2 linked regions of the Drosophila melanogaster genome follow. The protein of the gene in region 2 purifies or fractionates together with the protein of the main gene of each other region. This does not show direct contact. Each region holds a gene or a part of one and is shown on either strand. Other genes may lie near its edges. The genes, in order: CG1504 and DIP-gamma.

Region 1 (8,375 bases), on a different chromosome or scaffold from region 2:
CAGGACATGGAATTTGTACCAAAAATTATGACATGATAAAAGTTAAATCCGGCTCGAAGGACCCACACTCTCTCTCATCCTTAGCACTGTTCATAATTATTTAATTTTATTTCATTGACTGTCGAGGACCCTCGCCGTCTTCTCTCGCCGGGAAGCATGTCACTGTCGCCAATCGTCATCAACGTCGAGCTCCCGTTCCCGTTCCCGTTTCCATTCCCATTCTACATTCCTGGATTTCCGGATTTCTGGATGCGGAATGGTGGGCACGAGTGGGTCGTGTTGTGGGTCGGGCACAAGATGCGGATCGCTTAGCATTAATGTCTTTCATTTATTGTCATTGTTGTTAATGTTTTTTGTGCTGTGCATGGGAAAAAAGCATTTGCATTTAAGCGCCGCGAAAACGGCAAGTGAAAAGGGTTCCACGGATGGGTTGATGGTTGCTTGGGTGGATGGGTGGATGGTTGGATTGGTGGATGGGCGGATGTGCGGGGATGTGTGGGTTCTTCTGTGGCCGGAGCAGAGATTTTGCTTGGATGATTTTTATTGCTCGTTTGTAGTAAATTTGGTGTGTAATTAGAGAGAAAAGGGTTATTATGTTCGTTAACGCAGTGCGCTCCATTCCCCCCCCCCCCCCCCACAAATTCACTTTGGGAGCCACGCAGCGGATTCCGGGCTTTAAGCTGGATAGGGCCATGGGAGGAACTGCAATTGGACTTCAGAGCCGGGCCTGGGAATTTTAGGCGACACAATGCGAAACCAAAGACGCACCGCAAAACGACTGCCTCTGACGACCGGAAGGCCTCGGAACAGACAGAAGGCAGTGTACAGAAGAAAGCGAAACAGCTGAACTACTGAGCTGCTGCAAAAAACTGCACCGAAACCAAAACAGAAATTAAATTGTGGTTCGCCAAAGTGGTCCTGGTCCTGGTCCTGGTCTTGGAACTGGTCCTACTCGTCGTAGCACTGGCTTGGCCTGCTCCTGGGTCAAGGGAATGCGAGTGGAGTGGGCAAATGCGAAGTGGCAACGGGTGAAAGTTTGAAGGCGGTACTTTGCCGTTGGGGTATATTGGTTTAAAAGGTAAGCAGGAAAAATTCTTAAATACAATATAAAAAATGTAGAAAACACTTAATGGGACTAGAATTACATTGCAGTTAAGCAATTGAGCTTGAGGTACACATAAAGAGTATTTCTAGGGTAGATGGAACAATATACAAGTACTGAAATTCTAGTGCAACTACTTTGTTGTGCATTATTATTTTATTCGCAAGGAATAAATAAACGAAGTAGATGAACAGAAATTAATTAGTTGCGCTTTAAGAGCAAAAAATAAATTATATATGTTCCCGCACCATCGATATGGTAATTACTCTCATAATAATTTATATCAATTTATATCAATTGCATTAAGGCCGTTCGTTGTCTGGCAATTTGTGCCTGCCCTATCAAGTGGCTTGCTTGGTGCGCTATGGTCGAGTCCCACGCCGGATGTCCTTGCAACGGAGGTGTGGATACCCGAGAAGGCGGAGGAGGCGTGTCGCCTGGCCCAGATCAGAGTGATACAATGATAGCGACTCCGGAGCGAAGTGGAGTACAACCCGGGAACCGGGTCAGAGGCAACTCCGTGGCTCGTTTTTATTTGTTGCATTTGAGCCCCGGCCATGGAAATAAAATTTCAAATGTAACTTTGCTGCGGTAGCCAGTTCATGTACGCGTTCTCGTACGAATGTGTGTGTATGTGTGCGGCTATGGGAGTCCTGTGTCCTTTCGGCAACCAGTGTGCATGTGGAGCGCGGCCTGCGGCCTGTGACGATGCCGCAGTTAGCCCGGTCTCCAACTACGGCTCCATCTTGGCCCTGTCTCCGTGGCCTTTTCCGTTTCGAAGACCTCTCTCTCTCTCTCTCTCTGCCTTCGCCTTTAAGGGCATTGCAGTTGGCATAAAATTTAATTCGCCGTCCTGGAAGGAAGCGCCCAGGACATTACGTGCTGGCAGTGTCGCTTCCTGCACCCATCTCGAATCTATAGTCCAAGCCCCGAAACCCAAAACTAATCCCAGTAGCATTTGCCGGGCAAAACATTTCCAGCACGCATGGAAACAAGTTTAGAATCAGAATCACATCACACCAGGAGACAGCCAGACAGTCAGACAGTCAGACAGTCTGAAACTAAGAGATACAGCACATGGACGTACAGATATAGGAGCCGGGATTAGACACAATCGAACATGGCCAGCGACCCTGCCAATTCCAGAGACCAGATCAACATAAACGCGGACGTTTCGGATATTTCCACTAGCGAGAGTGAGCTAACCAGCGACGACTATACTAGCGATAGCGAAGGTGATTACCAATCTAGAAAAATGTGTTTCCACTAATAGCGAACCGCACATCCGATCCAGATGAGAGCTGCACAGTGGCCGATCCCGACACCAGTCCGCAGACGAGCATGTACAGTCTGCTGTCGGCAGAATCAGACAGCGACTTGGAGGAGGAGCAGGAGAATTTCTGCGAAGAGACTATTTCGCTGCTTGCCCACGAGATCCTCTGCTGTGAGGGCGACAGTGAGGGCTCAGAGGTAGAGTCCGACGGCGAGGACATCGACGAGGCCAGGGAATACGATATGTTTGGAGAATCCTCAGAGTTTGGGCTTCCTACATACCGGCTCATGCTGAGCGACGAGGACGAAGATAATTCGAATGAGGTCGAAGTGGTAGGCAGTAATCCGTTCGTTGGCGAGACAATCTTCCTGCTAGAAAAGGATAAGGATCAACAGAGCGAGGAGAAGTCCGAGTCAAAGGAGGAAGAAAAAATCTTCCAAATGGAGCTTTTTGAGTAGGGCTGGGGTTGGTTGAATCGGCATCTCTGCAGGCGGTTTTTTTTTGGTTTTTACAGATATTCACATTCGATGATCATGGATCTAATATTTATGGAGGGCAAGATATGAGATGGATCCTTACCAGCAAACTCAATTTTCAGGATAAGGCTTAGAGTAATTAGAAACGTACTATCCGAGTATATTTCTTTTTTAGCCAGATATCAACATTTATGTATTCGCGCAAATTAACATACATACATTGTTTTATGCATTAGGTGTACAAATGTCCCGAAGCGGCAAAAGTGTGACTCCCTCAGGGAACAGACAATCCTGGCTTTTTGTGCGAGTCAACAGCATCCATAGATAGCAGTATACAGGACGCAGTTAATGGCGACAGATAATGAGTGGAACACACTGCTGATCCCAAGACTACAAACTTTATAAATTTGTCAAATTGTTTACAATAGAGTAAATTGATCGATACCATAGGCCTTACTTATTATTTGAAACTTTTATGATGTATTTTTATACTACTAATGACAGTTTAAAGTAGCACAATCTTTGAAGAGTTTTAATGAGCTTTTATTGGCTTTGAAAATTGTTATAGCAGATGGCTGCCATTTTTCTCGAATTAAATATTCATGCTTAAAACGTCTGAGCATTATAATTACTTTCAGTTTTGACCCAATTAGGATACTAGTTAAAGAAAAGGTAAAAGAAAATCGACCTCATTTTTGGAAAAACGTGTTTATAGTGTTTATAAACGTAATTTATAGTAACAGTAGTTATAGGTACCAAGAAAGTCGGTTTATTTTTATAAATGACATCGCTTGGAAACCCCATAGGATCACTTATATTTCTATTTTATTCTTGCCTCAGTTTGTTTTCGGGAATGGGCCTCCCACATGGCATCAGCCTGTGCGATCAGGCTAGCATCCCTTTAGGATCCCTTTTCACATTGTCACTCACCTGTTCACGCTCAAAGTGGCTGGATGGTCGCTCAGGACACCTGAGGGAGACTGGGCTGGTGTTGGCGCTGATGCTGATGGCGATGGTGATGGCGATGGTGATGGCAACTGTGACTGCGAGTGGGACAGTGACTTTAGCAAAATGCTGACAGGCGACGGCAACAGGCGGGCTGAACTGCAACTGCCTTTCCCTTGGCAGCTGGCATTTAGTATTTAATATTTTGCCTCTGGTTATGCCTCGGTTATCCCTCGGTTATCCCTCGGTTATCCCTCGGTTAGTCCTTCAGCTAGTCCCTCAGCGCCTCAGCCCCTCACTTTTGCCATTTGAATGGAGCTGGTCTTTAATTGCAAACTGGCAGCGGCAATTGCTGGCAACTAAAACTAAAAAGGACGACAAAGGATGAGAAAGCGAAATGCGAATGCGAATGGCAAAATGAAATACAACATCAGGCGGAAAGCGAATATGCACTTTGCAGTTTGCAGTCTGCTCCTGCTTGCTCCTGCTACTGCTGCTGCTCTTGATGATTATGATGATTCCTATTTCCATTCGCATTCGCATTCGCATTCCCATCCCATTTCCACTCCGCCTCCTTTCAATTCGACTGCACTTATCGTAATCGGCGTTTCGGTGTTGGCTTTCAAATTGCCCGCGACCACGTCAAAGCGACCACAAAACTAGCTGAACGGACAACCGTTGACCATCCAACTTCCAACATCGACCATCCGCCACCGTCCACCTTCCACCAACAGCAGGCAATCGAGGACCGCAGGTCAGGTTTTAGCCAGTTATCAGCCGGGCTTAGTTTGGTTTTGGTTTGGGCTCGGTTGGGTTTGCTTTGGTTTGGATTGGAGGTTTGGATGGTTCGGCTTGCGGCTCAGTTTGAGGAGTAGTTTAAAGCGCAACTGGCAACTGTTGCGGGGGCCCCAGCCAAACAAAAACCAACGAAATCACTCACCTCGCACTCAAAACAACACACACGTGATTTCCCGGACCAATAAAACAAAAAAAAAAAAACCGAAACACAGCTGGACAGAACAGAGTGATGACAAAAAAGATGTCAGTTGGGGATGTCACACACCAGCCGCTGAACAGCTGAACTCTAAACTATGAACTGCGGGTCGCGTCAAGTTAGGACTTGTCGAGATTTGGCGAGAGATTTGCGGGCCACGCACGTATCCGCATCCGCATCCGGTACCCGGTACTGATGTCAACAAGCTACCACACGCAACTAATTCAAAAAATCCAGCGAACGGATTACGGCGCCACTGTCCGCATTGCCAGCCGAAGCCGAAGGCGTCACCAATCGGGTAGCTCGGCGCTAGCCGAGTCCGTATCCGAAGTAGCCTCGTTGTCCTCTCGTGACCGCTCGGCTCAGGCAATCGTTTGACGTCGGTGGCGTTCGGCTGGAACCGGCTGGAGCAGTGGTCCGCAGTCGTTGGTCGCCAGCGGAGTGGTTCGCATGTGGCCCGGCTGTAAGTGGCACAGGATTATGGATGAGACCCCGCGTCCTGGCGGGATTCTCTTTTCGTCCTGCCAGCGGGCATTAACGTGCTGTGCGCTTTATTTAAAAAAGCAGCTTAACCTGCTTTTGTGACCTTTTCCCTTTTGGCCAACACGTGGCCAACGGCTTCACCAGCAATCGCCTCACATTTGTCCACCTCCAACGCCGGCGATGGATAGACTGCGTCCTCATCCTGGACCACGCCATGCGTGTTGATAAATGGGTTTTTATTTTGATTTTATTCACTGTTTGCCTTGTTTTTGCATATTCATTGACGGGGCTTCGACTCCGATTCCGATTGCGATTCGATTCGAATTCCCGTCCGTCCACCTGCTCCTGCTTCTGCCTCTGCTCTGCTTCTGATCCCCATGCGAGGATGGCTGGTGTGTCCGGCGTCGAGTGCAAATCCTCTGCCACCTATTGCCTTCGGGTCGTGTCTGTGCTGAAATGGTTTTCAATTTATTAGCAATCAGTGGCATTAACAGCCGAATGCGATGCTGTTGCTCCCCAGCGGATATGGCCACTAGGATTATGGCGGGGTCAGTCAGATAGGAAGCCAGTTGTCACTGATCATCAGCAGGGTATTGGTACTGCGAAGGCGTGCGCGATGAGTTTGTGAAATCAGTATATGTTCAGTAGTGTTATCGAGATCACCTAAGGCATTATTGGCTATTTCAATTCAAGGTTCATTGAGTAGCTATACAAATTCTTACTTGTCTTGAACTAAAGTTCGGCAGTTGTATCATACTTTAAAAGTTAGATTGATATCATTTTGTTATACATAAAGCTTTCCGAAATGTAAGCTGAAGGAAATGTTAAATTTAGAGCTTGATAGTTGAACATACTATCTATATATATATATAGATAGAACTATACTATACTATATTTGAAATGCGCACTCGTTTGTACTACCATTTGTACCAGCATTATATAGGAATAATTCTATGTTTGAGATGGAATTTGTCAGCTTGAAAATCAAATGTGATTGATAGCTTTGAAATTTTCAAGCTATGATATGTAGAAGGAGATGGGTAGATACGCAGTCTTGTGCCGAAGAATTGATTCTATTTTGATAGATAATTAATTAATTTCAAGTTTGTTTTTGTCTAAATGGAATGTTAGGCAAATATATTTCTTCCTCAGAAGGTTATTAACCCTTACCCCAACTCTAATCATATTTTAATCTGTGAAAGTGGTATCGCACACATATGGAAATGAGTCCACATGTGTGGTAAGTATCCTGCGTCGTGCCACTGATTGAACTGCTGACCCCCTAACCTTCAGCCCGTGTCATACGTGGCATATATGCCCCATATGCTGCCCCAACTGACATGCCATTGTACTTCGATTCGGTTTGGGGTGCCCTCAAGATCGGTTTTGCATTTATGCGGAGTGGAAATTCCCAGCGAGGAGCCAGGACCAGCGGCCCAGTGTGCGGCCTAATGCGCTCAACCCGGAACCGCAGGGGCGGCAAATTGGTCAAGTCGGTTGCTGGCCACGTAGCCAGTGTCTTGCGGCTGCAATTCCCGTTACCAATCCAATGCCAATGGCAATGGATATGTAGATGCAGATGTAGATGTAGATGTGGATGTGGAGGTTGCAAATGGCAGGAAATGCGTGATAACGACCGGCAGCACACATGGAAAATATTGAAAATTTGAATGAGGGACACGGACACGAGTCCGCTCAGTCGATTCTCGAGATGGAAGTGAATGCAGGACGCGGGGCAAAGCCATATGCCATATCCTGGCCCTGACTGCGATGTCTTTGTTGCTGTCGATGAGGATGTGGAAGTGTGGATGTTGTGAAAGTGTCGACACCAGTCCCGGCCAGGCCAAACACATGGCAAATGGCACATGGCAGACGCTTCTCGTCCAGTGTCCTGCCCCAGCCACGCCCACAGCCCCATCGGCTTTCCCGCAGAAGCTTCCCTGTTTGTGTCGCCGCCTAGTGTAAAGGAACGAGCATAAAGAACCGCAAAATCATGAAATGCAATAATGAAGGCTTCATGGTCGATCGCTCAAACACTACTCGCTCACACCCGTTGCGATATAGTCACACACAAAGAGGAGGGCAGGACGAAAATCGAAGGCTGCAGGTCCTCGTTGCCGAGGATGGGGCTGATGCTGATGCATAGGCAGCAAACCCAGCAAGCCTGTGGATAAGGGGCCACCAGGCAAGACTTGCAATCGACACGACTGTCAATGCACTCGAAAAAAACGCATATGCTTAGAGTGAGCCCAGGTGTTTGAGAGTTTGTCATAGGTAATCTTTAGCCACCATATAAAAATAAACAATGTAATCAATAAGAAATACAATGAAGAATTTAGAGACTAATTATCATATGCCCCAATGACGAGTGCCTTTATTCCAGTGCTTCCTAGTGTGCGTCAGAGTATCTATAAGCCACTGTGCGAGTGTGAGAGTGTGTCTGTCGACACCACAAAGTTGCCATATTTAAAGCATAAAAGCAACATTTCCGTTTGTCGCATGCCGATGAAGCGACAGGAAAACAGAGCAGCAGGCGAAGCTGTAGGCAGGGGCGACTGGGAGTCCTGGCATCGAGAATGGATGGGAGATGACGATGGGCAATGGAAGATGGGAGCGGGGAGCGTGGAGCGGGGAGCGGGGTGCTCCAAAACTAAGCAGAGGTCGAGGCCTACCTCCTTTCGGGGCATGTGGATGTGAATGTGGCACGTGTGTCTGTGAGTGTGTGTCAATTTGTGTGCGTGCGCGTTGCAGTCATGTACAACATGCAACAAACGTGAGAAACTAAAATGAGTGCAATTTGTATTCCACATTTACGTAGAAAAGGAGTCGAAAGGGGGTCGGGATTGGTTATAGGATATCTGGATGTGGATGTGGATGTGTGGAAAGGCGCCTCATCAAATCATCAAGCCCGAGTTCCGACCACAGAGCGCAGCTTTCCCCATCATTTTCGGAAAGCACAAATTTCATTTTTTCCTCATTTGTCGCATAAAATTTACCGATTTACACACACACACAAACAGCTCTGGTCCTCTTCATCATTAAATTGTGTTGGGGCAGTTTCAAAAGAACAAAAAAAAAACAAAAAAATAACTCGACCTGTTT
Region 2 (8,389 bases):
TCTGGATTGTGGGTGGAGCTGGGTGGGCTGGCTGGGTGTCGCACTGGTGTTCGGTGGAAAGTGAAAACAATGCCTGGCCGCAAACGGCTGAGCAATGGCTGTCCAGGGAGGCGACCGCCTGCCGAGTGTGTGCGGATGCTCCTTGCTGAGTGTTTACTTAACCGTAAGCCTGACCCACCGACCCATCCATCGCAGCCAACCCATGCCACCCATGCCACCCATGCCACCCATTCCGGTCAATGCCACCCACCGACCCCCGGCGGTGAGCTGAACTTGAACCACATTGAAACAACAAAGGCGAGCAGATAAACCAGCGATGGGTAAAAAAGGGTTGGACGGGCATCTTAAAGGATTGCTCAAGTTGGCCAAAAACCAATATGTAAATGTGCGTGTTGTGATTAAGCACAAAAGCAAAGTAAGCCAGATACAAAGACGGCCAATTGGACGGCGGACTGCGGACGGACGGACGGAGTTTTCTTGTCCGATGCCAAAGTCCCGAAAGCCAAAATCTCCAACCGCACCGCACACACATAATGTGGGCCAAAAACGAAGCCAAGCAAAAACGCAGCCTTGGCTAACTTTACACACCTCAAGTGTTTGTTTAGGTTGCTTTGCTTTGCCTTGCTTTGCTTGGGGTTTCGGTTTTTGTTTGAGCGATGGACCTGGCCGAGGAGTCCTGGGGTCGGGGAAAACACTTAGGAAAAATTACCAAAAAAAAAGAAGATTAGTGCAACTCGTTCAACTTGCGAGCAAAACCGATGCGCAGTGGTCAAAAGTAGTTTTGCAATCCACAAAAACTTATCTGAGCATTTGCAAAAGCCCACAAGAGTCCACAATCCATCTTAACTATGCATTCGACACTTCAATTATTATTAGGCATGTTGAACTAACAAAATTATAAAATAGTTTGGAGTACGCTTTAGTACTATTGTACTGAACTGAAGTGCATGTAAATGTACAAAGAGTGTAAAGAAGTAGTAGTTTGTTGTTGCATCTTTCAAAGTGGTATTCAAAAACAGAGTACAACATTCTTCCTGCAACCTACTTATGTGAACTGCAAATACACGAGAGTCTTGCATTAAGAAGATTATTTTATTGTAGTGTAGGGGCAGAATTTCCTGTGGCCATTTGACGCTTTTGTTGTTTTTGGCCAGCGGTATTATAAATCTTGCCCGCAATGTAGAAAGCGATCAGATCCTTGCTCCTTCTCCGCCTCCTTTTCGTGACCCCACCATCCACAGCTCGTCGCATCCAAAAACAATGGCTTGGAACCCTATTAGCGTAGAGCCACCCCCCTTGGCAGAAGATTCTCCACAGGAGTGTGTGGAGTTTTCAGGGGTCCGGCCATAAATTGCAACCGCCAGGTGAGCGGTAAGTGGGTGCGGTTTCAGGTGTTGCGAGGGGGCTAATGGGTCACTACTTGATGTATCACACAAACAGACACAAATGATATTTATGCTGCCGCAGTTGCTCCTTCACCAGCTCCATCTTCAGCTTCTCCAGCTCCTTGGGCTTCGGCGGAGGAGCCCGTGAGGCTTCTCACGGCCAGAAGCCGCGCTCTGCTTGGTGTAATAAAAACTAAAATCCGCACAACAATATGTGCGAGGATAATGCCATTTCCGTTTTATGGGATATCCTGTTAGTCCTCCCCCAACCCGCGTGCGAGAGAGTGTGTGTGTGTGAGCTTTCGCATGTGCGAGGCTTCCTCAAGGAGCCCCAAATCTGAGCGAACGAGTTACGACTACACCGGGCAAAAATGAAGAAGCCTGGAGGAGGACTGAAGGAGCTATTGCGGTGGCCATTTCAGTGATGGGTTGCGATAGGATTCGCAGAACGTAAAGGCCACGGTGGCATGCGTGCGAGTCGGGAATGAATGGATCAGGGATCAAATTTTATGGATTGCCCTGGCGCATACTATACTATACATACATTTGTGTGCACTCACATGATAATGAAGTCAGAAGTAAGGAATAAATTCCACAAATTTCATTAGCCTGAAAAGTGGGAGTCACTGGGAATTTAAAGTGCGGGGATCCGATAACAAAGGATTGGGGATTGGGAAATTATTGGAATTCGGATGCTGGCAAGGTTAAGTGAAAGATTTTCCTCCCAGCCTTGAACCAAATTAATTTATTAAGTCGACAATAAATCGTTGATAAATGGCAGCCCAAAGGCATTTTAAAGCTCACATTCACAAATCGTATTGTGCAAGCGCAATGAAATTTAAGCTCAAGTGATTTTAGCAAACGGCAGCTGCACGTAATGAAATTTAAGTAAATACTTCCGAGGTGAAATACTAATCAATTAAAATAACTTATCAAAACTGAAGCGAGTAAAGAAACCCCCCCCCCCTACATAGCATTCCCATCGCGGACTAACAATCAGCTAATCTGTCTTACATATTTCCATATCGCCTCGGCTTCAGCATGGATTACGATGGTTATTCATTAGACGCATTCCTGGACGCCCTTGGCCAACAACTGGGACGCTTGCTGCGGTTTGCCGCAGGACTTTCGTCCTTCTTCTTGCTACCCCTGCCCCAGACAACTCAACTATTACCTCTCTCTTTCTGAGCCATAACTAGGCAAACCTTTTTTGCTCAGTGTGTGTGCGGAACGGCAGAGGAAAAACAAACGTCCGACTGCCGGGAAAATCTGTATAAGTGTGTGTGTGTGTGTGTGTGTGAAGTAAAAAAGCGCAACCGGAGAGGAGACGGATGGACAGCAGGAGGAAGAGAGAGGGGCGTTGGGCGATGGCAGGGCTGGAAGCGGAAAGCCGGAGAGTAAGAAAAACCATAACTAAATCCATTGCCATAGGAAAATCCAAAGCAAAGTCTGCGATGCAAATAGTAGAGATTATGGGACTGCAGATGTATGAAGAACGAGATGGAGCTGAATGTGAAACCCAAGGCGCGGCTGAGAAGGACCCAAAAGGGATCCAGGGAGGACGGAGGACGAAGGTCCCCGGCAGAAGGTGTTATGTGTACGTGTGTACGAGTGTATGAGGCACAATAAATCTTGCAAGGGTGCCGAATGGCCGGGCAAGGGGCCGGAGGCCTCAGGTCCTGAGTCCTGGATCCTGAATCCTGGGCATTGGCATGGATCTGAGACGGGACTTTGGCCTCCATTCTCTACGTCCCTGCTCCTCCTGGGCAGACCCACTGCCACCCAGTGCGCGCACGCCCCGTCAGTGAAAACCAAAACCAAATAAAACTGACATTATGCGAAAAGCGAAAGCCATAACTAAAAGTTGGATAACGTGGCCATGATGGAGCCGAAGTGGAGTGGGCAAGAAATCCGGAGCTGAAACAGCCGTAAAGTTGATACTAAACCAAAGAGCAGAGCTGGCAAAGCTAAAACAAATCGGAGATGCTATTGTCACGAGCTCTGGACGCGCAGGTGCCCTCATTTTAGTGATAGTGTGTAAAATAAATTATAGAAAATTATTGAAAAAATACTACTACTACAGAGTTACCAAACTAGTAAAGCAACCAACGATTTTTTCCGAAATCGGGTCAAGAATTAAAACTATTCCTTGCAATTTACATCAAATGCTAACAAGACTTTCTGGAAATGACTAGTAGTTTTATTTGGCAGTGTCATTAAACTGAGTTTTTCAGCTGTGCGAAAGTTCTTGTCTTCAGGTCTTAAAATATCGTTAAATTTTAATTTTTAAAGCAAACTTCTTTTGCCTAACTAAAATTGTTATAAGATATAGTTGGATTTAAACATTGGTGCCATTTTTATTTTGCAATTTTCAATTAATTGGTACTTAATTAGTACTCCAAGTACCTTATGAATATTACATTTTGCAATTGCTTAAAAAAATGTTAAAAGCATTTCCCGACCATTCGAAATGACATTAGGATATCATTCTAATTGCTGCCCCGGATAAACTTGATTCACTCCAACAGGTTTCAATTTGAACATCCTAGAAGCTCCTTATTGGATCATTAAATCAAGAGCGACTGAGCTGACCTAAAAAACTGAGAGGGCTTAAATGCTGCTAAGCGAACTGAGTTTGTTCCTTAATCGCCATCAGGACCAGCCAGAACCTCCCAGGACCACCCAAAAGGTAAATCCACGGCCCTGAGCTCGCGAATCCAAGCCACCTCGGGAGTGCACCACAATGGATTTGCCACAGCCCAACTCCATGGCACGAGCTGAATATTCTCCGATTTTACCCTTTCTGGGCGCTGGGCGCAAAATGTTGGTGGGGATACAGATATCGGGTATGAAAAACAGAAACAGGAAAATAGAAATGATAGCAAAGTTGCAAAGCGATGCGGTGCGGGCGGGCGGTCTGAAGGGGTTGCTGAAACGGAAATCGACTTTGGTAAGGAGTTTTTCTCGTACCTGTGAATCGGAATCTGAACGCTGGAGCTGCACCGAAGTTATGCAAATGTAAAGTTGTTCGTGCCTGCTCCTGGCTGCTGAATCCTGCCGCAGGATCTGGCACCTCCTTCTGCTCCTGCCGCTGCTCCAACTCCCGCTGTCAATCGAAGGCGATGTCGCGAGTGCTAATGACGTTTGCTTTGATTGCGCCCCGCATGCGAATCCAAATCTGAGCCACAACTCACAACTGTCATTTTCGCAAGGATACTCGCATATGTACGTATGTGCGATGAGTATGTAGAATAGGATGGGTTCTTGAGTGTCTATCTCAGCTGGTACTCGCAGCTCAGCTCAGCTCCTCACCGGAACTCTATTTATTTAATTTGCATGCAATTTTCAATTTTTATGCGGAATACTTGGCATTGACAGCAAACGATGCGCACATTTCGCATCGGCAATGCACAATAGAAATTGAATTGCAAAAATTTGTTTGCCCGTCCAGGGCAGCAGGCAAATGGATTGCGAACACAGTGGAATAGCGGATTTTGAGGGCTCTTCACGTCTTCACGCCAATGTCACAAGGAGCCGCATTCAAGGAGCCAGCGCGAGAGCTGAACGAGTCGAAGAAATCGCACAATTTGGCGGCGAAGATGTCAAGTATACGCCGCGTTGCCAGTGCCACACTGACTGCAATTACAATGGTGGCCAACAACAAAGACGGTATGCCGGTACGCCACACACACAGACACACAGAGGCATACACGGGCACATACGACACACGGAGTTGAAGCCACAAATACGTACGCTCCGCTCCGCAGGATCCGGAGGAGAAGTCTGAGGCGAAGACAGGCGACAGATCCTGGTATTGCCCCGTCGACAGTGTGCGAAATAAATGCACGCGCACACACACGTTCACGAAAAAATCCCGCGAAATTTGGCGACAAAAACCAAAACAAAACAACAACTTCGTGCGCTTGGGATCACGATGAATGTTCGATGCGAAATGCACAAATGCAGCTGCTCTCCACCACCGAACGCTCCGAAACTGAATTCGCAACTGAGCCAGCATGAAAAAGGATGCTGCCATCTGGAGCCGAAACGGCTGGACGCACGAAGGATGCCGACGAGCGGCACGATGACGCGGATGCTTCGGATGCTGGCTCGCAGAGCTTTTTTGGCGAGAGAGCGAGAGGAACTGGCATTGGCGACGTGTGACTTCGTTAAATTTCTGCGGCGACAGCACACAAAACGGATTCGGAAGCGGAAGTAGCAAGTAAGCGAGCAAGGAGCGCTCTGTGGCCATGTCTGGGTGTGTGTGTGTGTGTGTGTGTGGGTGTGCCTCTGTGTGTGTGTGTGGATGGGCGCGCTGAGTGGGTGGAGTGGCGCTGAAGTGGGCGAAGTAGCGCCAAGTGGCTGGCTAAAGTCGACTCGCGGAGCACGACCAGAATGGAAGTTTTGTGTTTGTGTTTTGCAATGCCAACTAAACACACATTCAGCTCCATACACACACACATATGTATGTCTATACATATATTATAAGTCAAACATACCTACGCCGTGGCATCAATATTCACATTCGCACTTGTGCGAGTATTTTCTGATTTGCTGCAATCGCGTTTGCCAACAACGAACTTGGCTAACAACAACAGCTGCCGGAGTCACAGTCGCAATCGTAGTGGGGTATTTTCCAGCGGATGTTTGGTAAATCTTTGGCGCCGGATACCAGCGCTGTCTTCCCCGGAGTCGCAATCCCGCCCCCTTAGATCACCACCCCTCGCGGGACACGCTTATACTCTTTTCATATCTTTCTTGCTCTTACACATGAAGGAACTTTGAAAAAACAATGTAAAAGTATACAAATTTATATGAAAACCTTTATTTAAAATTTTTTACTAAAAAAGGCATTTCATTTATTATCTCATATGCAAGGTATTTCAGTTTAAATATTACATTCATTTTATTTGAAAATATTCTTTTAATAATAGCGTTCATCATTATTCCTATAAAAAAAATTGTATTTTGTAAAAACTTGGACATTTTGCTCAGTGTACTAGCTTACACCCAGGGGTATGTATGTGTTGGTATCGATAACTAATAAAAGCATTACATTTATGTTAGAGTCAAGCGCCGTGGCCCCTTATTTTCCCCCCACTTCTGTTTCGTCCTGAGCAATAATTCAGTTTCCATTTCTCTGTTTTCTTCAGTTTCTCATTTTCATTTTGCAGCCAGTGCATGTGTGCCTCGGCACTCCTCTCACCCTCTCCGTTTTCCCAACACTTTTGCCACAGTCATGGCCAACTAATTGGAAACAGTAGCCAGCTGCGCTTTCTTGGCCCATTTTGTTGCTGCAGCGGCTTGGAGAGCTGGATCCTGGTGTCTCGTTTAGTTGCCAATTGCTTAGTTGATTTTCATTGTCTGCCCTTTGGGCCACACTCACAGGTGGCTAACAGGGCGATGGTATGGGTGGAAAATGTAGGGGTTTTTCCGCTGTATTGGCTTGTAAGTGAAACGATAAACGCTGTAGCTCGCTGTCATTAATTGGCTGCCGGTTGATGTTTATGTCGTTAGCTCTTCGTTACTGCAAAGAGGGAAAAGCGGATGGGACGTTTAATAATCTCATCGCATTCAGCTGGGTTTTCACTGATTTTCCTGATCTTCTTCAGCCGCTTTTAGCTTGATATTCAATTAACTTTTGCAGGACAAATCTAGGCGGGATCTGTTAGGGACAGCCAGGCAGAATGTTAATTAATAACGTTTATGCTCGTATCTGAGTATCTGTGTATCTGGGCATCTGGGTATCTGGTTACTGCACACTGGTTACTGGGGTATCTGGCTGATCTGGTGCTGTGCTAATGCTTAGGCCGGGCCAAAAGAACTATTCTCCATTTCCTCGCCTCAAACGGCTTCCGTCTGATCCTGAGAGCCATGTCTTCGTCTGCAGCCGTTCGTCCTTCGAGCTGTTTTTGTCAGGCTGCTGCTTCTGTTGCTGCTGCTGCGTTCACCTGCCAGCGAGGGCGAAAAGAAAATATCCGGTTTTCAACCGCAAACTGCACTTTTCTACCCATTGTGCCTGGCTCCATTCGTTATCCTGCCACTGCTCCTGCTGAGTGGCCCCATCCCAAGCCCACACAGACGGAGCAAAGGACACGGACACGGACAGACACACGTTCGGGACATTGAATTTGTTTTGGGTTTTGATTTTTCGATTTCAGATTGCACGTTTGAATGGCCAGGACCAGGACCAGAGCAGACCAGGAACAAAATCAGAATCACAACCAGAATCAGATTCGGGAGCTTGTTAGAAGGACCGAAGAGCGAAGCAAGGAAACGGGTGCCGACCCAAGTCCGACAAATTCAAGTCTGAAGTGTTGACTGCCACATTTATCGCAGCTGCATCTGCAGCCACATGAAAATATTCGAATTGATTGCAAAGTGCTGGCTGGCCATTCAATAAACTAATTAAATACAAGTGGCGTATAATTAATTTGCTGTCGAGCACCGATTTCTTGGGGATATCCGGGGAATTGAATTTTTGTTTATGCCCATCCTTAACTAATTAAATTCACCAGCCTGCAGAGTGGGAGCTGCTTTTGCCTTTGCCTTCTAGTCTCAGCATTGTAGATGAAAATTCATCAATTTTCAGCTCGATTCGCTCTTGCTTCGAGCATTCAAATTGTGTTTGCATTCTCAATTTTCATATTTCTCATATTTCTGGCTGCTTTTCCCTACTATTTCGTGTCGTGTTTGTCTTGGCCAAATGGAAAAATGCCGAAGTGAAAATCATCTCAGTTTCACAAAAACTCCAGAACAAAGGAAGTGGAAATTGAGTTAATTTTGCAGTCACACTCCGGGGCTGGCTTTAATAAATATTGGAGTCCGTTGCCAGTAATCGAGTAATCGTCTAATGAATCAGTAGCAAGTCCAATCCTCCAATGCACTTTTCCATTAGCCGGTCCAAAGGCTTGCGGGGATTCTTGGATACATAGAAAGTCTTTTATCTCCCAGTTAATGCACATTGGCTGCAGTTAAAGTCTTCTCCAGCTGGGAGCTCATCA

The links.
Region 1: the proteins of DIP-gamma (region 2) and CG1504 purify together in Drosophila melanogaster (affinity purification with western blotting; one large-scale study listed by BioGRID). This does not show direct contact.

The regions. Positions count from the first base shown.
Region 1 is NC_004354.4:20,325,382-20,333,756, forward strand, and holds the start of CG1504 (uncharacterized protein), read right to left. Parts: upstream 4,992-8,375; 5' UTR 4,737-4,991; intron 4,162-4,736; exon of another isoform or gene 3,782-4,161; intron 3,300-3,781; exon of another isoform or gene 2,834-3,299; coding exon of another isoform or gene 2,397-2,833; intron 2,338-2,396; coding exon of another isoform or gene 2,223-2,337; exon of another isoform or gene 2,063-2,222; intron 1-2,062. Other genes in the region: CG1631 (uncharacterized protein), read left to right, coding at 2,223-2,337, 2,397-2,833.
Region 2 is NT_033777.3:28,964,976-28,973,364, forward strand, and holds the start of DIP-gamma (Dpr-interacting protein gamma), read right to left. Parts: upstream 5,398-8,389; 5' UTR 4,356-5,397; intron 1-4,355.